3 linked regions of the Sus scrofa genome follow. The protein of the gene in region 1 binds, or shares a complex with, the protein of each later gene. Links are inferred from orthologs where the notes say so. Each region holds a gene or a part of one and is shown on either strand. Other genes may lie near its edges.

Region 1 (3,512 bases):
CCTGGGGCAGGCCCTCATTACTTAGTGTCTGAATAATTCTGACAGGCTCCTAACTAGCGTCTCAGCCTTTATTAGTCCATTCAACTTTAAGCCTATCTTCCACTGCCATGCTAATCTTAAAGTACTGCTGTCATGTGCCCTCTTGGGTTTTTTTGTTTTTTGTTTTTTGTCTTTTTGCCTTTTCTAGGGCCGCTTCCGTGGCATGTGGAGGTTCCCAGGCTAGGGGTCTAATCGGAGCTGTAGCCGCCAGCCTACACCACAGCTCACAGCAACGCTGAATCCTTAACCCAGACAAGGCCAGGGATCGAAGCTGTAACCTCATGGTTCCTAGTCAGATTCATTAACCACTGCGCCATGAAGGGAACTCCGCCCTCTTGGTTTTTGATGGCTCACCACTATCTATGGTATAAAGTTTTCATTCCTTAGAACAGCACGTGAGGGCCACCACTGCCTGCGTTTAATTCACCCTTTTCAATATTTCCCATTACAGTCAGTTCTGCTAAAATGCTTGTTTTGAAAACGGGCACTTGTTCCAATGCAACTGACATATCAAGGAATGCTTTTTTTTTTTTTTTAATGGCTGCTCCAGCGGCATATGCAAATTCCCAGGGCAGGGACTGAATCTGAGCTGCAGCTCTGACCTAAGCCACAACTGGGACAATGCCAGATCCTTTAACCCACTGCACCAGGCGGGGGATCAAACCCATGCCTCCACAGCAATCTGAGCCACTGCAGTTGGATTCTTTTTTTTTTTTTTTTTTTTTTGTCTTTTGTCTTTTTTTTGTTGTTGTTGTTGTTGTTGTTGTTATTGTTGCTATTTCTTGGGCCGCTTCCGCGGCATATGGAGGTTCCCAGGCTAGGGGTCGAATTGGAGCTGTAGCCACCGACCTACGCCAGAGCCACAGCAACGCAGGATCCGAGCCTCGTCTGCAACCTACACCACAGCTCACGGCAACGCCGGATCGTTAACCCACTGAGCAAGGGCAGGGATCGAACCCGCAACCTCATGGTTCCTAGTCGGATTCGTTAACCACTGCGCCACAATGGGAACTCCCCTGGATTCTCAACTCACTGCACCACAGTGGGAATTCCTCAAGGAATAATCTGAACATAGTACAAATTTCCCATTTGCTTATGCCCAATTTTGTGTATAAGACACACGAGCTGAATGCAGAAAACTCTATCTAGCTGAACCAAACTACTTAGAAATAGACAAAACTGACACACCTCAAACACCTACCAGCTTCCTGAGTTCTCCAAGTGTGTTAAAAGCTAAATTCACCTACAGCAAGTGTTACAATTTTGCTGCAACTCTGACACCCCAATTCCACAAGCAAACCTCAGTTCTATTTCAAGGTAAAGTGCCATATTTATTGCAGTGTTTATGTATTTCATAACTGTTTAACAGCGTATAATTGTGCTACTGCATTTAAGTTTTTATCTTTTTATGTATCATGGATGTTTTTTGAGTACAGTGCTCTTAACTCCATTTCCCCTAAAAGCCCTGTGGGTTTTCTGCACAGTTCTTCATGCTGTAATGATTCTTAGGAATGCATAGGTCATGTCATAACAGAACTGATCATATTTCCTTTTGTGAGCCTTCTGCCCTAACCTGGTAAACTTGCCTGCCCTTGAGTTTCCCAACCTAGGCATCCTACCTAGAATTCCTTCCTCTGCTTTTTCCAACAACTCAAATCCTACTAATTTTTAAAAGTTCAATTCTATACTCTCTCGGGAAGCCAGCCCAATGCCTATTCTATGGATTTGGTTGGTACTTTTTTTTGGTATTTTTGCCTTTTATCAGTGTTTAATTCTTAGTGTCTGAATAATTCTGATTAGTAGGTAAGCCTTCCCACCCTTATTTATAAGTTTGATTGGAAGCTCTTTGAAAACAGGAAATTCAGTTTTTATTTACTCTCAAATGTTTCACAGTGTCTTCAGCAGACCTTCAGTGAGTTAAGAGTAAAAATCAGTATCAGTAAATATATATCTTACATCTTCTGCCATCCTCCAACAACTTATTTTCCAAATGCATCGATAAGGATTCCCTTCAACAGGTTCTAATTCTGTTCCTACAAAATAGTAAAAGAAAGTTTATAGTTTAAAATGAGATTTCCTTATTTTGACAATGTCTAAAAACAAAAGCTATACTTGACAAAATATCCTCTTAGAGCTAAACCAAGAATAAAATCTATTAAAAGTACCTCCATTAACATTGGGGTCATGGTAGAGTTTCCAGCCTTCAAGTGTTGCAGCTCTCCATGCCTGACCACAACGCTTGCAGAGTCGTTGTGCCTTTAGAAACAAGAAAGAGCAGTTAGTGACATAACCAATGCAGTACTGGAGAAGCACTTGTGCCTTGGGGAAAAGTACCAGCAATTTTTTTTTTTGTCTCTTTGCCATTTATTGGGCCGCTCCCACAGCATATGGAGGTTCCCAGGCTCGGGGTCAAATTGGAGCTGTAGCCGCCGGCCTACACCAAAGCCACAGCAGCTCACAATCCGAGCCACATCTGCAACCTACACCACAGCTCACGGCAATGCCAGATCCTTAACCCACTGAGCAAGGGCAGGGACCGAACCTGAAACCTCATGGTCCCTAGTCGGATTTGCTAACCACTGAGCCACGACGGGAACTCCAGTACCAGCCATTTTTGACAGAATTACATAATTAATCACAGGATGGTGTAGGCAATTAGTAATGGTATTTCATTTTACCCATATGCATGTCCTTCTGTGGTCTCTGCCCTTCTTTAATTCTGCTAGAGACAAATGGGCTAAAGAAGTTGATGACCCCTGATTTATGTAAAAGCATTACAAAAACATTGTTAGTCTCCATAATGACAGGGTGCTATTACTCATTCAATTTCCTGATGTTGTTTTTTTGTTTGTTTGTTTGTTTTAAAATGGCCACATCCACAGCATATGAAAGTTCCTGGGCCAGGGACTGAATCTGAGCCACAGCTGTGACCCACGCTGCAGCCGTGGCAATGCCGAATCCTTTAACCACTGCTCTGGGCTGGGAATTAAACCTGCATTTCCATAGTGACCTGAGCTGCTGCAGTCAGATTCTTAATCCATTGTGCCATAGTAAGAACTCATGATATTTAAGTTAAATGTAACCAGCCAGATGAGCTTAATACACCAATGAGAAAGATACATGTTTATAGGTGCACTATCTCTTAGCAACCAGTTCTTCCTCATTTAGTTCATATGGTTTGGGTAAGTCATGTGGATTCCATCTCTGAACTCCAGGGTTAGGCATGTCACCTAGTAAGAATCATTCCCAGGACTCTTGCTGGAGATATAAATACTTCTTTTGCTGGGATTGCTAGCTTCTAAGAGAATGTAAGGCTGGAGCTGCTGGTGGCCATCACTGACACAAGTGGCTTCTTGAGAATGACGCCACAGAGAGGAGGGCAGAGTCAACAGCATGGGAGAGACAGTAACCTAATGACACCTTCTGAGCCCCTGGACCTGCTTATAGCCAGATATAACCTCTTTACTTCTCTC
Region 2 (3,938 bases), on another chromosome or scaffold:
CACTGAGTCATGACTGGAACTGCTGCTACTGAATATTTATTTTACATTTGGAAAATACTAAGCCTCTTTTTACCCGCTAAATATGGATGTGAAGAAGTTCCCATGTGGCACAGTGGGTTATGAATCCGGTGTTGGCCGCACCTGTGGCACGGGTTTGATCCCTGGCTGGAGAACTTTCACAAACGTCAGGTGTGGCAAAAAAAGAAAAAGGACATGAATGCATAATTTCTCATAGCCACACTAATAGTGTCAGAAACATCAGTGAAACCCCGAGACATTTAGAAAAAGCAGCAAGACATAGATGGCAGATCAGTTTGGAGTTTGTGCAAAACAACTTTGAATTTCATCCTATGGATGGCTGCCTTCAGAAGGATTTGGATAAAACTGTAATTGCCACAAGATTTTTCATCCTTTCTTTAACAGGGTGTATCTTAAAAGACCAGCTACTGGGTGACTGTTTTCCTAACAGATATCTTATCCCAAGACATCTTATTTCCACCATTCGAATAGGTTGTTCAGAATCAACTCAAGAAGTGCTTCCCCAAGTAAAATACTGAAAATTTGTCTTGTTTTCAGATCGAATTTCTTTCCTAGATAATAAAAAGTGCTACATTTTCAAGCACTGTTTTCGAAGGTTTATCTTCAAATTTCTTATTACCTTCGTTAAAAAACTCGCTTATTTGGGAATTTAGAACCAGTACTATTCCTTGTATGTGTATGTACTTGTATACATGGCATTTACAAAATAACTCTTTTAGGTTACTGGAGCACTTTTGAGGTTTCCCATAACAAGATCTGGGCTCCTCTGAGTGTTTCTTCCTGCTTTTCTTTGGTGAGATAACAAACCAACATTTGTGTTCAATTAAGCTCGGCGGTCTCGATTTCAGCTGTTTCAATTTTGTGCCCACGCCTCTTGAGGATTTTGCTGTGGAAGTGGCGGCGACTGCCTTCGTACACAAGCCGGATGGACCAACTGTGCTCGCCTGCCATGAACACGGCTCAGAGGAGCAACCGCGACGGCGCTAACCCGCAGACCAAGCAGCAGCGGAAAGCCAGGCTCGGGAGAGGCCGTGGGCTCGTGCTCGTCAGAAGCACGCCGAGCGCTGGTCTCAGCCCGCGCATGCGCGGCCGCAGCACCGCCGCTCCCGCGGGCTCCCGGGGTCTTCTCTCCGGCCCGGCTTGGGGTCGTCCACGGCGGCGCCTGATCTGGAGAGAACGGTACTTGGAGGGTAGACTGACCCTGGCGCTATTTTCCCTGTCGTGCTGTCGAGGCCAGGAAGGAGGGACACGTGTATAGTGCTGCACAGGGGTGGTCGCGGCCAAGAGGAAAGGCCCCTGCAGCGCTGGGGGATTGGGCCTGCAGGCAGAGCAGGAGGCGCTCGGAGGGGGTCCTTTCTCGCAGCGGGTTCTGAGCGGGAGGCCCGAGCCGCGAACATTTGCGGCCCTGAGAGATCCAGGCGGCTGTGGTGCGGCGCAATGGAGGAGCTCGATGGGGAGCCGACAGTCACTGTAAGGGCGCCCCCGAAAGTATTGTTTGCCTTCAGCGGTTTCGTCACTGCAGGGTTGTCCACTTCTCGGCCGCCTGCAAGGCGCTCGTCCCCTTCCCTCAGATTAATTGCCACCGTCCGGAAGTCACATCGCGAAGCTGCCCGAGTTTGGGTTGCGGTGGTCGCTGGGTTTCTGCCCCTTTGTATATTCCGAGTACGTGGTCCTGGAGGCCCCGCTCCATGCCTTTAACGAGCAGGTTCGAACTAAGCAGAGGAACTGGAGCCTTTTTGTCTCCCAACCGAAGTAGGTTTCCCATCACAGTGCCCGGTTTCTGCTTCAGCTGGCCCAAGGTTTATTAAACGTATTTATTCTCTCCGGAGACTATTCCTGTTCTTATTGCTGTGTTTGTTTTCCAATTCTGTTTGAACTCTCAAAAGACTATGTCAGATGTGGATGATTTGTGATGTTTTACAAAGAGATTCAGGGCTATTAGACAGGAGTTATTACCGTTCTCCCTTTTTGCTGGGATGCTCTTTTCTCCGTTAGAGTTATATCCTACCCGTTGTTTTTTTTTTTTTTTTTTTTTTTTTCCTCTTCCTATATATAAGCTCCTGCATTCTTTGTCAGAAAAGCCTCACTTGACCTCCCTAACTAGGTCAGATAGTTTTGTACGTTTAAGCTTGTTCTGCATCTCTTAGCTCTTGGTAGCTTGTAAGCCCCACTAAACTGCAATTTGCTTGACCTTGTGTTTTTGCTTTTTAGAAAGTGGAGGTGCCTTCAGCTTTCAGCAAAAAGCTTGCAATGCACTGTCTGACAAAACCACAAAATAGATGTCATTTTAAAGCTAACTGGACAAAAAGAGACAGTTTTCTTTTAAGGGCTGCAGGTGCTTCATATGGAAGTTCTCAACTTCAGGCAAGGGGTCCTATCAGAGCTACAGCTGCTGGTCCAAGCCACAGCTACACCAGATCTGAGCTGCATCTGTGTCTGCAGCCTATACCATAGCTTGAGGCAACGCTGATCTTTAACCCATTGAACAAGGTCAGGGATCAAACCCACATCCTCACGATGTCAGTCGGGTTCATTTTCCTGAGCCACATTGGGAAGGAGACATGAAATCTTAAATAGCAGTTAACATGGTTTGTTGCTCGCTAGAGGGTTAGCTTTATGTATAGATATATATGTGTATGTATATATATAAGTGAAAATTTAAAAAATTTCGTTTTATGACTGCACTTGTGGCATATGGAAGTTCCTGGGCCAGGGGTCGAATCAGAGCTGTACCTGAGGCCCATGCTGTGCCACAGTCACACAACACTGGATCCGAGCTTCATCTGGGACTTGTGCTGCAGCTTGTAGCAATACGGGATCCTTAACCCAACTGAGCGGGACCTCCACAGCAGGAACTCCTCAATTCCTTTTAAGTTTGTTAATTTCCCTTTTTCTCAACTAGAGATCATTAAATCATAATAATTTTTTTTTTCGTCTTTTTGCCATTTCTTGGGCTGCTCCCGATGCATATGGAGGTTCCCAGGCTAGGGGTCGAATTGGAGCTGTAGCCGCCGGCCTATGCCAGAGACACAGCAACGTGGGATCCAAGCCGCATCTGCAACCTACACCACAGCTGACGGCAATGCCAGATCCTTAACCCACTGAGCAAAGCTAGGGATCGAACGCACAACCTCATGGTTCCTAGTGGGATTCGTTAACCACTGAGCCACGACGGGAGCTCCATTAAATCATAATAATTGATTAGGGAGTAGCTTTCCTTTTTATCAACATTTGTGTTGAGATGGCTAGCAAAACTCAGGAGCTCATTTAGGGTCTAACAGAGTGGGCTGATCTCAACCACATTCAGGTGTGTTCATTGGTTATACTTAATAACTCTCATGACCCTTGATTTCTAGGGTTAGATTTACAAGTCAGTTGAAGGCAAAACATTAAGAAAGAATAACAGTTTTTGTTCCTTATTATTTTCTTTTACTAGTTGATTCCAGGAGTGAATTCCCAGAAGAAGCAAATGTGTTTTGACTGGGGTCCAGGGGAGATGCTGGTATGTGAAACCTCTTTCAACAAAAAAGGTATTTAAAAAAAATTTTTTTTTTGTTTTAGATTATCCATTGGGGAACATTTTTTTTTTTCTTCTCTCAGATTTGACTAGCTGAGATACAAAACAGTTGAACTTACTTTATGTCATTTTCATTTTTGAAAATTTTTAGCTGCTTAGGATTTTCATTTACTTATGATACTTGGCACATGTTGAGTCTGGGGAAAAAAAAATTAACAATGGTTTTCCTAAAGAAAGGTTTTTTTTTTGTTTTTGTTTTTTTGGCTTTTTAGGGCCACTCCTGTGGAGATTCCCAGGCTAGGAGTCTAATTGCAGCTACAGCTGCCGGCCTACACCACAGCTCATGAGTGAGGCCAGGGTTCGAACCAAAACCTCATGGTTC
Region 3 (4,023 bases), on another chromosome or scaffold:
AAAGATGAATTTAATGAGAGTGTACAGGAAAAAGAGAAACCAATTAGGAAGTTTCAGATATGAATTAAGATCCCAAACCAATATAATAACAATAGCAACAAATAGAAGAAACATTATTAAAAAAAAGAATTGATCAAAACTGGGTAACTAAAAGAAACTGTGAGTACAGAGCTATAAGAATACTATCTTCCTCATTGTGCTGAGTGTAAGATCCAACCTACCTTAAATACCAATTCCCCTTTGATTCTTTATAAATATTTCTAGAACCTAAAATTGACACTTTCCCCATTAGCATTGTGTCAACATCAGATATCACTTATGTTTCCTGCACCAGAGAAAACAGGATGAGACTGTTACCAACATGTTCAAATTAAAAAACGAGTAACACTCCCTCAATCTGAAAAATATGTCACCAAAAAAGAAGAAACACCAAAGTGGGAAGAGGAATACGGTAAGTATAGTTTAAATACCATAGCTTTATTTTTTTTAACTACGTGAATGAAAAATAAGCCCCTCCATAGGAATGTATTTTTACATTATACTATTCATTTTACCATATGAGAAGGAGTTTCTAAAAAGATATGCTACAAGTACTATTCAATTTTATTAAAAGCACTTAATGGTAAATGTTTAAAATGATTTCATATTTCCAAAACCAAATTAAAATATTTATAAATATATTTTTAATCAACTGTCAATATGCAAATCATTTTAACAGATAGAGGTCGAGTATATTACCTTTAATTCATGGTAATCTATTGCTTCATCTTTGTCCGTGTCAAATAGTTCAAAAGCATCTTTAATTTCTTGTTTCTGTTCTTCAGAGAGTTCTCTTCTTTTTTTCCTTTTTGTTTTGTCTACTACAAGCTCATTTCTATGAAATGAAGACAGAAAACCCTATTTATTGCACTTTAATCCCATTCTCCTATGCTTCTAAATGACTCAAATAAGAATCCAAAAATACAAAAAATTAGCCAATTAATAAATACCTAAATTTCTAAAAAGGAAGTATTTTCCTTACATGAAAGGAAGAGATTTTCCTTACATGAGTCAAAGCCCTGCTCTTCCCATCGACTAAGGTGCTATAAACTTGTGCTTCCTAAAACTGAAAAGTGTTAAGTTATTAAAGAAATGAGGACCTTACTTCCCTTCCTCCTGGCTTTTTATTTATTTCCACTAATATTACTATGGAAGAAACAAGAAATGTGAATAAGAAACATTAGTTTTATATCAGAACCCCCCCAAAAAAACAAAGCACCCATAGTTACTCGTTTTACAATGTCTGTTAAAAAAAAAAAAAAGAATTCACAATTGATGATCACTACATATTAGGCTTACTTTTATAGTGTTAATAACTATCAAAATTACTACAAAAAGACATCTAACTCATCAATTAACATAAACTCTTTTGGCATTGTGGATCAAAAGTGTTTTTAGATTACACATTTTTAAGTTTGGCATTTTATTTGCAATTTCTCCCACTGATATTATTAACAATCACCCAAAAAACTTAGCCTAAGCATACTATTAAACACCAGAAAAGTACATATTTGTGCTAACGCTATATAATAATGTGGAGTCAACTGTCTTGTAAATCTCACTTAACATATACATTTGGATTTAATTTTTCATAAACCCTGAAAAAGGCTGAAGAAAAAAAGGAATTTATTGTAAAAGCCAGAAATATCTTGAGATGTTCCAAATTTTCAAATAGGGTTGCAAGTTTGAAGCAGAAGAATTCTGTAAAACTTAGAAAATGTAAAAACCCAGTTGATTTTATTAGACACGTTATCTGTTTGCATTTTAAGTTGCTTTGTTCTCTGAAATCTACCACACACACACACACACACACACACAAAAGGCAAGAGATGACTAGAAAGTGACCAAAAGAGATATGATAAAGCTGAGGTAGATCTTGCTTTCACAGGAGACCCCACTTCACACAAGCCTGGACGTTCTGGGGGTCGGCCATTCTTTTCCCAAGATTTTGAGAGGACAAGTTCGCAAACCACCGACCACTGACCCCAGCCAAGGATACCACGATTATGCCTTATCAGAACTCGGTACCTTTTTAGTTAGGTGTAACTCTATAGGTATTTTTACGGTAACACGCCTAGTCGGAGTTGGGAAGTAGGCAACAAATGGTAGGTTAGTGGTTGGAAATGAGCGAAAAATAAACTCAGGGAATCTAAGAGATTACCAACTAAAAGCACTAAAATGGGTCTACTATTACATAGTGAAGCAAGGAGGGCTTTACGTTATTTCTAAAATCTACGGGTTAGATGTTAGCAGGAAGGGAGCTGCGGTGGAGGCCATAAGCGAAGGAATGACGGGAACTTTACTAAGGATGCTCCAAGGCCTGGTTTCCTAGTTCACATAAACAAGAGCGTAGAAACCTCGCGATATTTCACTGCCTCCTCGAGACTATAACAACCCAGGTTGTTGGGGTCCAAAGCCCAGTGGCCTGACAGAAATGACCGTCTAACTGCACGGAGCTCACCCGGGCCCCGAAGATGAGGAGTCTGGCCCAGGAAAGGTGGCCAAGGCTCCCTTCCCTCGTCCCAAACTGCATTCCCTTCCTTGCCTCGCCCCAAGCTGCCTCCCTTCCACACACACCCACCCTGGGGCCCGCTGCGTGGTGTGGAGAGCATTGCCGCCTCCTCATTACCGACCTCAGAGCTAAACTCATTTTCTCTTCGGCCAGAGACTTTCCTCTCGAGAACGACTTTAACCCCCTACTCAAAGCCGAACGACTTCCACAAGCGGTTCAACAGACAACGACCTAAGCAGCCTCAAGACCTCCCACAAGGTAGACATTTCTGAGCTGGATTGGTTGAAATAGCTAATGCCTTGCCCATTAGGGCGGAAGCGTCACTAGTCCTCTTCTCTCATTGGGCATTTTTCGCGTCAATCAAAGAGCTCTCCCTTTCGGCTCTCTTGCTGCCCCTCCCGCCTTTTAGGTTGACCTGTAGCGTAGCCCCCACCCCCTCCAATCCTTTGCGGAGCGAGGGTCTGAGTGTCCGCTGGGCTTTTCGGACTGAGGGTGACTGACCAAAGCCTCAGGAGAGAAGGCCTGCGGCATGTGGACGACGTCTGGAAACGGCGCAGGAAGGGAAGAGACACCCCGCAGGTTGTCCTGCTAGGAGGAGGAAGTAGCTTGTGAATGAGATCTGCGAAATTTGGCTCCACTCTATTCTTAAATTTTGGATGATTTAAATACATGGGGAGTTTGTTTAAAACTCAGATTTAAGTGTCACTTTCCTTCATTCTGATTCTAGTAGATGTGAATCTGCCTTTTTTCTTTTTCCTTACAAAATCCAAATGATTCTGAGGCAGGAGCTGTTAATTATACCTTTATAATCACTGGGTTGAATTATTAGGCTATTTACGGTGAAGCTGTGCCTAGATGGCAATTGCTCCCCTATACCTCCTTTGAGGTGCTTTGGTACTTCACTACCGAACCAAGTCTCTTGAAGCTCACTGGGGTATTTAATGTGTTTACCTGTTCGTCTCTCCTACTAATCTTGAAGGCCGGGGTTTCATTTAACGCTATTCCTAAGGCCTAGTACAATGTCTGATGCAGAGGTGCTCAATAAATATTGCTGTATTGAATGGAATCTTGCTATGGAAACTCACAAAGTACTGAGCTAAACTGCAAATCTCATAAAATAGCCTGAGAGTGTCCAACAGGGGAAGGGGGAAGATATATATAGAAGGGAAAGAACACAGCAGGATAGAAGAAAGACTTCTTGAAGGAGATGGCATTTATGTTAGGCCTAGAAGTTTGAACTAAATTTAGATAAGTAAAGAATGTGTTGACTTAAAAAAAAAAAAAATGCACAACCTAAAAGTTAAGTTTTGTTTGGGGCAAAATCAGGTCTTAAGCCCAGGAGGAAACATCTGAAGTAACCCAGAAAAAAACATTCTGCAGCGGGAGTAGGGGGGAATAAGGATATAGAGGAAGTTTTTTATTGTCATTGGGGTTTTGGGTTTTTTTTTGTTGTTGTTGTTTTTTGAACAAAG

Evidence for each region.
Region 2: NUP107 (region 1) and NUP85 share a complex: the UniProt entries of both Homo sapiens proteins name them as parts of the nuclear pore complex. The link is inferred for Sus scrofa from reciprocal best matches to the Homo sapiens genes NUP107 and NUP85.
Region 3: NUP107 (region 1) and CETN3 share a complex: the UniProt entries of both Homo sapiens proteins name them as parts of the nuclear pore complex. The link is inferred for Sus scrofa from reciprocal best matches to the Homo sapiens genes NUP107 and CETN3.

Annotation. Positions count from the first base shown.
Region 1 is NC_010447.5:33,020,661-33,024,172, reverse strand, and holds part of NUP107 (nuclear pore complex protein Nup107), read right to left. Parts: intron 2,296-3,512; coding exon 2,205-2,295; intron 2,073-2,204; coding exon 1,996-2,072; intron 1-1,995. UniProt on the Homo sapiens protein: Plays a role in the nuclear pore complex (NPC) assembly and/or maintenance. Required for the assembly of peripheral proteins into the NPC. May anchor NUP62 to the NPC. Involved in nephrogenesis.
Region 2 is NC_010454.4:6,101,162-6,105,099, reverse strand, and holds the start of NUP85 (nuclear pore complex protein Nup85), read left to right. Parts: upstream 1-1,127; 5' UTR 1,128-1,476; coding exon 1,477-1,509; exon of another isoform or gene 1,510-1,791; intron 1,792-3,475; coding exon 3,476-3,569; intron 3,570-3,938. UniProt on the Homo sapiens protein: Essential component of the nuclear pore complex (NPC) that seems to be required for NPC assembly and maintenance. As part of the NPC Nup107-160 subcomplex plays a role in RNA export and in tethering NUP96/Nup98 and NUP153 to the nucleus.
Region 3 is NC_010444.4:97,590,510-97,594,532, forward strand, and holds the start of CETN3 (centrin-3), read right to left. Parts: upstream 2,812-4,023; 5' UTR 2,690-2,811; coding exon 2,673-2,689; intron 875-2,672; coding exon 739-874; intron 1-738. UniProt on the Homo sapiens protein: Plays a fundamental role in microtubule-organizing center structure and function. As a component of the TREX-2 complex, involved in the export of mRNAs to the cytoplasm through the nuclear pores.